Nothobranchius furzeri: one gene and its partners. The protein of the gene in region 1 purifies or fractionates together with the protein of each later gene. This does not show direct contact. Links are inferred from orthologs where the notes say so. Each region holds a gene or a part of one and is shown on either strand. Other genes may lie near its edges.

Evidence for each region.
Region 2: the proteins of rho-related GTP-binding protein RhoC (region 1) and rap1gds1 purify together in Homo sapiens (co-immunoprecipitation; 3 studies listed by BioGRID and IntAct, counting the BioPlex papers as one, with this or other methods). This does not show direct contact. The link is inferred for Nothobranchius furzeri from reciprocal best matches to the Homo sapiens genes RHOC and RAP1GDS1.
Region 3: the proteins of rho-related GTP-binding protein RhoC (region 1) and disheveled-associated activator of morphogenesis 1 purify together in Homo sapiens (affinity purification with mass spectrometry; 3 studies listed by BioGRID and IntAct, counting the BioPlex papers as one, with this or other methods). This does not show direct contact. The link is inferred for Nothobranchius furzeri from reciprocal best matches to the Homo sapiens genes RHOC and DAAM1.

The regions. Positions count from the first base shown.
Region 1 is NC_091755.1:25,209,259-25,213,483, forward strand, and holds the start of rho-related GTP-binding protein RhoC, read right to left. Parts: upstream 2,804-4,225; 5' UTR 2,679-2,803; intron 1-2,678. UniProt on the Homo sapiens protein: Regulates a signal transduction pathway linking plasma membrane receptors to the assembly of focal adhesions and actin stress fibers.
Region 2 is NC_091743.1:87,836,762-87,840,959, forward strand, and holds the start of rap1gds1 (rap1 GTPase-GDP dissociation stimulator 1), read right to left. Parts: upstream 2,802-4,198; 5' UTR 2,585-2,801; coding exon 2,581-2,584; intron 1-2,580. UniProt on the Homo sapiens protein: Acts as a GEF (guanine nucleotide exchange factor) for the Rho family of small GTP-binding proteins (G proteins) that stimulates the dissociation of GDP to enable subsequent binding of GTP.
Region 3 is NC_091742.1:4,350,770-4,354,876, reverse strand, and holds the start of disheveled-associated activator of morphogenesis 1, read left to right. Parts: upstream 1-1,302; 5' UTR 1,303-1,455; intron 1,456-1,749; exon of another isoform or gene 1,750-1,898; intron 1,899-4,107. UniProt on the Homo sapiens protein: Binds to disheveled (Dvl) and Rho, and mediates Wnt-induced Dvl-Rho complex formation. May play a role as a scaffolding protein to recruit Rho-GDP and Rho-GEF, thereby enhancing Rho-GTP formation. Can direct nucleation and elongation of new actin filaments.

The DNA of each region.
Region 1 (4,225 bases):
ATTTTGCTAGTTTTGTGCCATGGATTTCACATATGTCTGTGAACTTCAAAGACACATTTTGATACCAAGAACGCGCTTATTTTCAAACAGGGCGAAAATAAGTCCAGGACTACAAATGCGCTTCACGAAAGTGACATCATCACACCAGACACGGAGAAAACTGAGGGAAAAGGGCTGTAACCTCAGCAAACTTCCCACAGGAGGAAAGAACCACCATAAATCTGGTCATTTGGTAAGTAGCAGCTGCGTTAGGGGAGAGGAGATTATGTGATGACGTCACATATGCGACGTGCCGATTTCTAGTTTGTAGTCATGCTAATTACGAACTTTTACAAGCTAATAAAAGTACTTGACTGGCATGGTCAAAACACCCATCATTAATTTTCATTTAAATTGCAGTACAACATGTGTGATCCAGGGCGTAAGGCAAAGCAGATTAGAAAATAGTGTTTTTAGCCCCATTGACTTGCATTCATTTTTTTCATTCTTCCGGAGACCTATGGTGCGGAAGTAGACTTAGGCTCCCTATTGACCCTTTGCATGTGACGTCAGGCCGCTCATGTGACCGCCCCCTTCGCCATGATGGACAGCAAAAAGATCGTTTGCACCCGTTGAAACTCCAGTGAAGCTAGTCAAAACAAGCCAGTTTGTAGCATTTTATCGCTTTTATTTAGTTGATTTGACAGTAAAATGGTTTTAGCTTGCTGCGTGGTTGGCTGCACTAACAGACAAGGATGTCAACTCAACTCGTTTTGTTTTTTTAATAACTTTGATGGAGACCGAGGATGGAGATGAACTGCAGCGATCAATCAAGTGGACTAGCAGCCCTCAGATTTGCAACGAACATGTTTTTACCAGGTAAGATAAACATTCATTTATTTCACGAGGAAGACAGGGACAGGGATAAATGTGATGTGTTTATACTAGTTATTGATAATCCTGATGGATGGGTATTTCACCACTGAGGATGTGCGCTGCCCACTGTAGTGTAAGGTGAGATAATTATTAACAATATTAAAGGTCCGATGTATGATTACATGCGTTAAAATTAGGTTATTTATTTATATGAGCATCACCGTTCAGAGATCTTCTCATTCCGGTGTGAGAGCAGCAGCTGAACCTGGTAACACCACCAACAACAGAAACTGGTAGGGATCCGGACTTTTTAAAAATCAGCTTTGGTGTAAAGTGAAACGCTGTTTATTACATAATGTTATAAATCCAGCGGGGTGAATTTAGGCAAAGTCAGCAACATGTTTACATCGATGAACAGCTGCAGAGAGAACGTAAGCTAACGCTGGGAAGCTAGTTAACATACCGCTCTCTATGAGCCCCCGCTAGATGTGCTACTTCTGATAACTGAACTGGGCATGAACTAGTTGAAGGAATGCTGGAGTTTTGTTTTTGTTTTGATCGCAAAAACAATTTCAGGCTCTACTTTTCCCCTTGGTTAGTACTCGTGTCGCTCACTGTTTACATGCTTTTGCCGTCCAGCATGGTGGACCAACGTGACGTCGTGCAAAGGGTCAATACAGAGCTGTGAATGGCCAGCCAAAATGCTGCTAGGGGCTGTGGAGGTTCCAATGGAGCATTCCTAGACCAAACTTTGCAAAGCAAGAATTTGGTCTAGTTCACTAGACTACCAATTAGCTACATGTTGTCCAAAACTACAGGTTCCAGTAATCTATTAAAGGCAACATGGAAAATCTTTACATTTTAATGTGCATAAGGGCTGGTTTTCTATGTGGATAAGGAAAAATAACCTCTAAGGTAAAATGGCTGTTTAGGAAGGGGTGGGTCTCTTTTGGAGAATGAGTGGCGCTTCCTGTCCACTTCCTGCTGTGTCTGTACAGAGCAAAGGTATTATGTTTTCATGTGAAAGACAAGTCTGAAGCATGATGTGAACTAATATTTCCAAGCTTTTATATGCTGTCGAATACCACCCCTTTGCGTGTTTAGGGAGTGTTCCAGGTGAAGCAGCTCCTCTGGTTCTGACTAAAAGCTGGGGTGTACTTTTGCTCTGTGGGGACCAAGCCTGCAAGAGAATTGAGGGTCTGCGCTACAAGAACTCAGCAGCACAAGGGTGTGGTGGCTCAGAGAAAGGAATTTTCTCGGGTCAGACCAATGTTATATTAGTTATCAGGAACAGGCGAGGGCAGACTTTGACCACTGAGTGGCCAAAATGAAGATATTTCGATTATTTAACTGTCCAGGAAATTCCTGTTGAGGGAGGAAAACCCGATACAACCAATCACACGCTCACCATTCAAGCAGGTTTTAAATCAGAAACCGAAAATAAAGTTATATGTGGTTTTTTAACGAGAAAACATTGGCCCCGTTTCTTTGATCAAAGAACTCAACATGATTAAATTACGCAATGAAGAAGAAACTATAAGGAATACCGAGGTGGTCTATGTCTACACTAGGACACTGCTGAGGAGAACAAACAGGTGTGTCCACAGATTACAAGGCCCTTTTCGGGTTTTTGGTCGATAACACTCCGAAAATCAACAGGAAACTTTTACCAGAGTAACAGGTTTCAACTCGCTGAGTTACTGGTATTTCGGCTCATTAAGCAGCGCGGCTTTATACTTTCCCATAAGTCCACAGACGGTAGTTAATAACTCAGTAAACTCTTCGGTTACGCAAAAATTACAGAATAAAATATGTGATTTTACCTCTGTCAAAAGACTGCTCTCGTTTAATCGACGAGCTCCGTGTTTTTGTCCGAGTTTTGTCCTCCAAGCCTCTGAGCTAATCGAGTGACTAGAGGAGCAGTCAAGACCCTCCCATCGTGGTGCTTTTAATGAGACTCGGAAAGTTGACAATCGACCTTTGATTTTAAACGAAGTCAAGAAAAATAATAATGATGATTTAATTTATTGTTTCTTAAAGTGTGAAAATTTTATCAAATTTGGAGAAATTTAGATTTTTAGGGTGACAATATGTGCAATACCACGCAGCAGAAGAAGAACAAAAAGAAGACGAAGAAAAGATAGAGACATTTTATAGTGCCTTTCAAGATCAAAACAAGGTGCTTCACAAGCACAATAAAAAATAAATTATTCTTTAAAAACTAACTATGAAAACAAAATAAAATTTGAACAAAAGATCACAGAATTTTTTTTATTTAAACTAAACAAAGACAACAAGTGAGGCCCAAAATATACATAAATTAACACTATGAAAAGTAGTTATTGAGGAAGAAGAGGATGAATAGAAGTTCACACAAAAGCCAGCTTTAACAGATGAGTTTACAGCTGCTTTATATAGGAGACCACGTCTGAGTCCATTGATCTCAGGTTCAGGGGCAGAGAGTCCCAGAGTTTGGAGGCCAAAACAGGAAAGGATCTGTCTCCTTTGATTTTTAGCCTGGTGCACTGCACAACCAGTAGGCTTTATTCACTGGATCTCAGAGACTTGCTGAGGCAGTGAAGATTATTAGTGTATGCTGGCACTTGTCCACAAGGCCCTGAAAACCAAAACCAGGATCTTCAAATGAACCCCGTATTTAGCCGGCAGCATGGACCTAATTTTCACTTTAGAAGTGGGGGTGGGGGTATCTTTACAGTATGCTAAAATGGGAAACAGGCTTCAACACAAACGGTTGTTTTCCGCTTGGTCCTAGAGCTCAACCAGTGTCAATTTAATGTAGCGTAATATTGTTTTTGGATGGTAAAAAGTGCAGGGGTCAAAACTTGACTTTGTAAAAGGGGGGGGGGGCATGTCCCCCTTGTCCCCCCCCCCCCCCCCCCCCCCCCAATTACGTCCATGGCCGGCAGCCAGTGAAGCTGGAAGACAACCAGGGTGACGTGGGTGTTTTTGAAGGACTTGATCAGAAGCCAAACAAAAGCATTCTACTCCTTTATTTTTCTTTGAAGAAGCCCTACTAATGTTAAATGATCCAAGATTCAATTTATATAGTCACTGATATAATTGTCAGTTTATTTCAGTCCTTGAACCTAACACGTTTCATAAAAAAGTTATGAATATAGTAAATATCTTCCTGTCAAAAATTCTAAGCTAAAAAGCTGTAAAATATCCATAATTAGTCCAAATAGATTTTGTAACATGTTCTTAACTTTGCCTGCTCAAAATGTCCCACTGTACCTGAACGCACCACAACGTCTTGGGCCTTTTGGATTTACGCACTTACACGCTATTGGCTGAAATTGTTCAACATTTTTTTGATTCCGCCCCTTTACGGTTAAAGCGTAATGACATA
Region 2 (4,198 bases), on another chromosome or scaffold:
GCTAAATTCCACACACACACACACAGTTTGATCCTTTGGTCAGCCAAACGAAGGATCCGCCATTTTGTTTTCAAAACTCCCTCCAGTTTGGTAATCAGCCTATCTCTGCCTGCTTACATCATCAAGCAGCCTCACCATTGCCTGATCACATAACCATCTCACCCCACCGGTCTGATTAGATTGTTACGTCACATCATCATTCCATGGTTTCATTGCCTGTTGTTTGTTTGATAAAATCGGTTGGTTGATATTGATTGGCTAGCGCTTTGAAGGAGCTAAGGTGATTATATTAGTCAATAAATGTTATTGCCAATTAAGTTGTCTCAAGTTAATTTGTCTGTGTTGGATAGAATATGACCGCTGCTCGTTAAAAGAATTTTACGAACTTTAGACAGATTGATAGAGGCTTGGATTCATTTTTCCCCTATAAAAAGGGGTTGTGCCCCTAGGCATATCAACGGATATCCTAATTACGTAATAAATCAGTAAATATTTCCATATTTACGAATTTTATTGATGAATCCAAAGAGTAAGTAAAGCTTACAAATTATTTGTTGGCTAATAACCACAACACTGGCCTGTTTAGGATTAACTCTTAGCTCGACAGACAGACATCAGAACAAATCTCTTGTTTCTAGAATCTAAAGTAACACAAACAAGTACGATGCTAACTATTCACATGAGCCCACTTTTAAACATCTGAATTTTCCAAATGAATGCAAAAGGTGACTTTTGTATAATATGACCCCTTAGAAGTCAGTTTATGGCCAGAACACAGTCTGAATGTTAGAATCACCATTAGGGATGTAAGAAAATATCGATATGGCAATATATCGTGATTTTTTTTCCAGCAATGTTAAATCGATATGCAAAAGCCGTGTATTTAATTCTTGAAAGAATTTACATGCAAACATTCGTGTATTTTCTTTTCGTTTTGTGCAATTCAATCACCACCCGCTAGTTGGCAGCAGTGTGCAACGGGTTTTGTTTCCACCATTGAAATGTAAAACCCTCCATCATGGTTCAGATACCTCATGTTAAACATGTTACGTATCAGTTTGGACTGTTATTGAACATTCTTACAATAAATTCAGTGAAAAAAATTGCTTGTAACGTCTGACTGAATGTATAGCAATACAGTAATCCCTCGTTTATCGCGGTAGATGCGTTCCAGACCTGGCCGCGATAGGTGAAAATCCGCGAAGTAGGGACTCCCAGCATGCCCCTCGCGGGGATTCCCTCCACGTCGCACCTACGTCACAAACCGCGGCTATAAACGGAAGTCGCCTTTCCAGCTCACCACTCAGTCATCGTTTCTTCAGATTCATGATCAGAGTTTCCAACCTACCGATCCATCCCATGAACTATCAGCTCATAGTAAGTTATCTTGCTTACTTCTGGAAAGCCCGGCATTTCCGTGTCACTTCGTTGACGCTCGAACGCTCGGGGGTTTCCTAGATCAGCCGGCGTTTCACCGACGCTATCACTTCCGCGTCTGTGAAACCACGCTCCCTATTGAATTATCGTATGATCACATTCTTTTTTTGTGGGTAAAACTCAAGAAAAAAATTTTTTTACTTGGTTTTTTTTAGTTTTATTACAAAAAGTGCATTTTATGATGAAATTGATGGAAAAAAACAAGAATTTCTTGATATTTCGCATAGAAAAATACCGCGAATCAGTGAAAAATACGGCGAATTCCCCCTGAAAAATGCTCCAAACAAAAAATCCGCGAAGCAGCGAATCCGCGATGAATGAACCGCGAAGTAGCGAGGGATTACTGTATATCGTGATATATCGTATTGTCTCCCCTGTATCGTGATATGTATCGTATCGCCAGAATTTCAAAAAATACACATCCCTGATCAACATGTTACCACTAACATGTAAATATTCAGTGGGAAAGCAGGGTAACCATTAAACACCCTAAGGATTGCAGACAGATGTCGGCTCCAGCCTTGTGGCCATCGGCACTTTCCTGTGAGACTGCTAGCATCAGGGCCAGATCTAACACAGAACTCACACACACTGTAGTGTGAATTAATAAAACCTGGTCAGGATGACTGTCCAGGAATGTCTCAGCCTGGGCTCAAGTGATCTGCTGGTTTCACCAGAAGGTGGCCTGTCTGATCCTATTGCATAACAGCTGTGCAGATGGAGTGCCATCTTCACCATCAGCAGCAGCTCGCTGCCATTTCACTGCATCTGCAGCAGCATCTTCTCCACCCCAGACCCTTCGCACCAGGGGGGCCCACTCGCGAAGAGCCAGCCTCCAGGAGAGCCGAGGAGGAGAACCGTGCGTGGAGTCGGGCAGGCTACCCCACCCGAGGGATGGGCGCGCGCGCGCATACATCCACGATGTGGTCACACTCGGCCCTTTAAAAACTCACGTTACAATGAATGAAAACGGAAATGAGTAACGGGAACTGTCAGGAACGGCTTTACTGGCACGATTGTGTCAATCAACTTCAACAAACCACCAGACACTGCATCATCTGATGGTTTTACACTTCATGCTTTTGGTAAATCTAATGAAAAAGCTCGCCTCTGAATGAACCGGATAGCCGGTTAACTACTCACCCATTTCAGCAGGGTGTTACTCCGGAAAACAAACCGGGGTGTCTGGGTATCTCCGTGAAACGCGTCGCACCAGCCGGAGGCCCCACTCGTCTGGTCTCCGGGGGAAGTTAGCGGGTTGTGGGAGCTAGCTATCGAGCAGCTGCAGCAAGCGGCCGGTTCGGTCGGACAGTACGGTTCTGAAACAGCGGGAACCACCAGGCTAACACACCGGACTCTCTCTCATGTCCGTGCTGACAGTCAGTGGTGGTCTGGCTGGCAGTTCCCGAAAAACTGGTTCAGTCAAACATGGCAGAATCAAGCTAGGAGACCGGACGGAGATGAAAACATCCGGTCAACACTTTCAAAATAAAGCAGCCAAAATGTGCGGTTGTTGACGCGCACAACCAGTGGATGGCAGTGTTCTCTAACTTCCCTCTGGGATTAATAAAGTATCTTTGAATTGAATTGAATTGAGGAAAGATGTCCAAAAGGGTTCAAATTCCTTTACAATTAATATAAAATAAGTTTGTTTCAGGGGCGGATGCTGGTTAACCCATTTGTCATTTAAATAAATAAAATCTAGAGTTCATTGTAATGTCATATTTGTCACATAAAGAGTGGGAAAAAAAGAAATGTCACACTTTATAAAAACGATGTGAGTGTTGTTGGAAAAACATGCATAAATGTGATAGGATCATACGTCATCCAGTAATGACTTATCAAAATAAAACAAATCAGAACAGGTTTCTGTAAAGAGTGTCTGCTGAATAAATGTAAATCTACAAAATCAGGATGTTGTGTTATGGTATCGAGGCTGCTGCATCCCAGCCACTGGTGATGGAGTCAGAAGCGTTGGAGCCATGAACACAGAAAAGAACAATCCGATTAAATCCACTTATTTCATCTGGAAAACTTCCAAAGACTGGATAAGTGCGTCGGTTTCCTCCTCAGCGTGCAGGTGAACCTTCAGTCAACATTAGATAAAAGCATTCTACAGCTGAAAGAAACGATGAAGTGTTCATCAGAGCCTTCCTGCTTAAATGCTGAGTTTGTTCTTTTCAAATGTTAGATCACATTTTTCTTTCGTCCTGATGGACTTCTTTTTAACTTTAACGCTCTGACAACCCGCAGAGCATGTTTTTGCTGTTTTTATTCTCTGTACAGGTGCCTGAGCCTCCATGCAGGAAGGGGGGGCTCGGGGGGGGGCTCCCCCCCTCCCCTCCCCACCATAAGAGGACCGCTACTCCTGCAGCAGCGCGGAGCTCCTCTCCTCCATCCTTCTCCTCCTCCTCCTCTGACTCGTCAGTTCGCTGGAGGCGCTTGTGTCTCTCTTTGGGAATCGTTGTGGATTCAGCGCATTTCTTCGTTTAATTTTTGAGGAATAAACGCAACACCGCTGACGCGATGAGCAACAAGGAGCGACGAGGCGTGAATTTCAAGCGCTTGCTGAGGAAGAATTGGCTTCTGATCGCCACGGTTGTGTCGGTGCTGCTCGGTATGTAGAAAGCTTTTGCTCTGAAACCCTCGCGTCTGGATCCGAACGCATCTCCATCTCTGTCCGTCTCAGACCACCGTGTTGAGCTGCGGGCAGGTTAGAATTAATTAGCATTTTCTGCAGCAGCTGGACTTCCTGTGGCCG
Region 3 (4,107 bases), on another chromosome or scaffold:
TCAGTATTGGAGACGTTATATATATATACATACATACATACATATATACATATATATATATATATATATATATATATATATATATATATATATATATATATATATATATATATATATATATATATATATATATATATAAGTAGTTTTCTCTTTTAAAATGGAAATCTAGAAAATTTATCCACCAGATGATTGTATTTTATTTGTTCTGTTCAGCAGATAACATTTTTTTAATTAACTTAAGAATCTGAAATTAACGTTTTTATTTTTAATTTAAATCTGGCTTCTTTGTCATCTAATGTTGCATTAAGTGACCAGATTTACTGATATATCTCAGGACCAGCAGTAGTGCTGCAGAATCATTTGATCTGATTCTGGTATAGTTTTAAAATAACTTCACTCCTTTGCTTTTTACTAAGAAACTACATTGGTAACTGCTTTAAAAGATGCATCAGTTAGCATTAATCCACTTTTAGTTTTACATTGCTGACATGCTAATAAAATCTACTCTAAAGAATTCATTTTTATTTCCAAAACACAAAATGCCTTCTGCTAATATTGTTTTTTAAACACAATAGGTTTTAGATTAATCACCAGTATTGCTGTATAGTTTGCAAGTATTTCTGGATCTGAGCGACATCGCAGGATTTCTCAGACCCCTGGATCGAGTGCAAAGAGGTGGGTTACACCCCTGTAGAAACAGTTGATACCTTAAAGTTGTGATTTTTTTTCTAAATGTTGCAAACCAACCTATTGGTTTTAATGACCTATGAAGTTTCTGAATACTGTCAGATAAAAGCTGTTCTGAAGTCACTTGTACTTTTTTGTGCCACTAGATGGCAGTAAATCGTTATTTGTGTTATTGACTACAAATTAATGCACGAGTTTCTCGTTTTAAATTATGTTTTACATCTGCAGTAGTTAAACAAATTTGTCATTAACAAGAGGGAAACTTAGTGAATAGTGCAACGGATCACTTAAAATGCTGCTGGTTTTTTAATTTTTTTTACATGTATTTGATTTGTTTTTAGCCGGAAAATATTAATACACGTTTGTAAAATCTAATATTATTTAATCAGTATTTTTTACTGTATATTTACTTAAACTAAAATATTTGAGCTTTATTATCACTTTTAGGAACCTTGAAAACTCGTATTTTAATTTTATTTGTCAAATTTGTTATTAGTTGTATGTTGCTTCATTTAAATATCCACACCAACAAAGCTTTTAAAGTCATTTAAAGTTACGTTTCTCATATTCTTGTTCAGTACTACAATATCCACAAAGCACTGAGATAAACACACAAGAGCGCATGCGCATTAGCAGCCGGAGTAAACTGATGACCTCACGCGCAACCCGGACCAGCCAGTCTGTTAAATCGACTGAACTGAGCTGTCGGTGCTCTTACCTGATGAACTTGCGGACACGGTTAACAAGAAAAATGTTCACCGTGAAGAGGTGAGATTTTAACTGTTTCGTTGAAACATTATCTCCTAACACCGGTACTGTAACAAAACTCCCGAGAGTTGCCTGACCGGGCCGTCTGCTTGGGGTGTTGTTAGTGACCTCCGTACCGGTGTGGCTACAGACAGTAACGTTTGAGGCGAGTTTATTAATGCGGTTATTGTCACAATTTCTTAGTTTACTCGCGTTTTATTGCTAATTTCAATCGTTCATGGTTATCATTGACTAAAACCTGTTTCAGACAGACATCCAGGGTCAATAACCGGATTTGCATGTATTTTGTTTTAGTCGTCCCTTTCTGTCTGGGAGGTAAGCTGACCTATCCATGCTTTCTGACAAGACAATGAGGCTGGAAAGTGGTGAGACCTTCAGGGTCTCCAGGGCGAACTGAAACGTGGTCCGATCCCTACTTCCAATAGTTTTGGATGAGTCATTGGGTAAGGATTATTTGACATAATTACGACATAAATTGTTCAAATAGTTATTTTCAAGAATAGGGTTGCAGACCCATCATATTTCATATAGAATTCTTAAGTAAGCATTTATGGTCCAGATGGGGATTTGAAATTAAAAATAAATAAATAAACTATATTCACTTTATGCAAGACTGCAATGTTAAAAAAATATTTAAAAATTAATCAATTTATTTCTTTAGGGAGTGTGCAGAAATGAACTCCCATTATAATCAGTGAGTAGGTTGGTCTGTCGTGGGGAAGAGGGAGCTGAGCCAGAAAGCCAGGCTCTCGATTTACCGGTCGATCTACGTCCCAATCCTCACCTATGGTCATGAGCTTTGGGTAATGACCGAAAGAACGAGATCGCGGATACAAGCGGCTGAAATGAGTTTCCTCCGTAGGGTGGCCGGGCTCAGCCTTAGAGATAGGGTGAGGAGCTCGGACATTCGGGAGGGACTCGGAGTAGAACCGCTGCTCCTCCGGATCGAAAGGAGCCAGTTGAGGTGGTTTGGGCATCTGGTCAGGATGCCTCCTGGACGCCTCCCCGGGGAGGTGTTTCGGGCATGTCCTGCCGGCAGAAGGCCCCCGGGTCGACCCAGGACACGTTGGAGAGGTTACATCTCCAATCTGGTCCGGGAACGCCTTGGGGTCCTGCCGGAGGAGCTGGTGGACAAGGCCGGGGAGAGGATGGCCTGGAGCTCCCTAGTTGGGATGCTGCCCCCGCGACCCGGACCCGGATAAGCGGAGGAAGACGAGACGAGACGAGGTTGGTGCATAAGTTAAAAAAAAGTGTGTTTTATTCATGACATTTTTGGGATCATATTTTCCCTTTAGTTATTACTTTTTGTTTGACCTGACACTTTATTTTTCTCATTAAAAGTCTAAACTTTTTCATCAATTTATTTATTTTTTTACTTTTTTGTAGCTTAAAGCAGAAATCTGGAGTCTTTTTCCTCAGAGGGCACCATCTAGAGGCAGACATTTTAAATTGTACCTTAAGCCCCTCTCAATACATCTTTGTTTACGGCTAGGCCTGGGACGATAACAAATCTTGCCGGACGATTTATTGTCCAACAAATTACTGACGATCAACGATATTATTGTCGACATTATCGAGACCAAAATAACCACTTATATAATGTTAATATATCATAATAATGTAAATACATCCTTTAAAATGCAACAATTAAACTTATATTCAACATTGGAATGTCCAGATCCAGAACTTCTAAATAAATAAACAAAACAAACAAAAAAGGACTCTCACTCTCTGTTAGAAAATGTTGCACCAAAAGCAATGAAATAGACCCTGTCTCTCCAAAACAATAAATACAATGGCCTATCCAGTGTCACAACCAAAACTGCACTTCAATAATGACATAAATAAAAATAAGGTTGTACATTTCTCAATATATTGAAGCTGTAAAAATGATTGAGTTCATTTTCATCCATCGTACGATGAATTGGTTTATTGATTATTGTCCTAGCCCAAATTACAGCTGAAAGCAGCACCTGTTTGTAAATGTACACCTCTAGCAGGCCTACAGAGCTAAAGCACATTGTTTTACAATTAATATTCTCATGTGAATGGCTTCCTCGGCCATAAGAATTGTTGCTAACCGTGCATCAGTCTAGGTCAAATGTTCACGCCCGCTCTGTGGTTGACATCAGTACATAAGCAGATGTGTAATGCTATTGCCTAATACTGAGCAGCGATCAAGTCAAATTGCATGGGGCTTCACAGGACAGGGCATCAAGCTTAGCAAAAAAAATCAGTTGACTACATTATATCACAGTACAGGGTAAAACTGTTACTTTTAGGGATTTTATAACAAAACATACATAATTCCTGAAAGGTGGAAAACTCTGGATTGCTACTTTAATTCATGCTGACACAATATTACTCTCTGTCAAGTAAATCAAGTCATTTTTAAGGAATGACGCAGTTGCAGGTTGCTCAGAGTCCACAGTTAAGATTATTGATAATCTTAAACCTAGTTGGACACTTATCAGCATAGACTTGCATTCCATAGACTTAAAATGCTCTACGTGGCTGAGGGGCCTGTGTGTGCTTGTAATGGGCTGCTGTCTTGAACGACAGCTTACTGCTGTGGTCTGATCTGCAGACGCGTTTTCACTGTAAACACGTGAGAAACCAGACATGATGCAGTTGTTTTGTCAACAGCAGTAC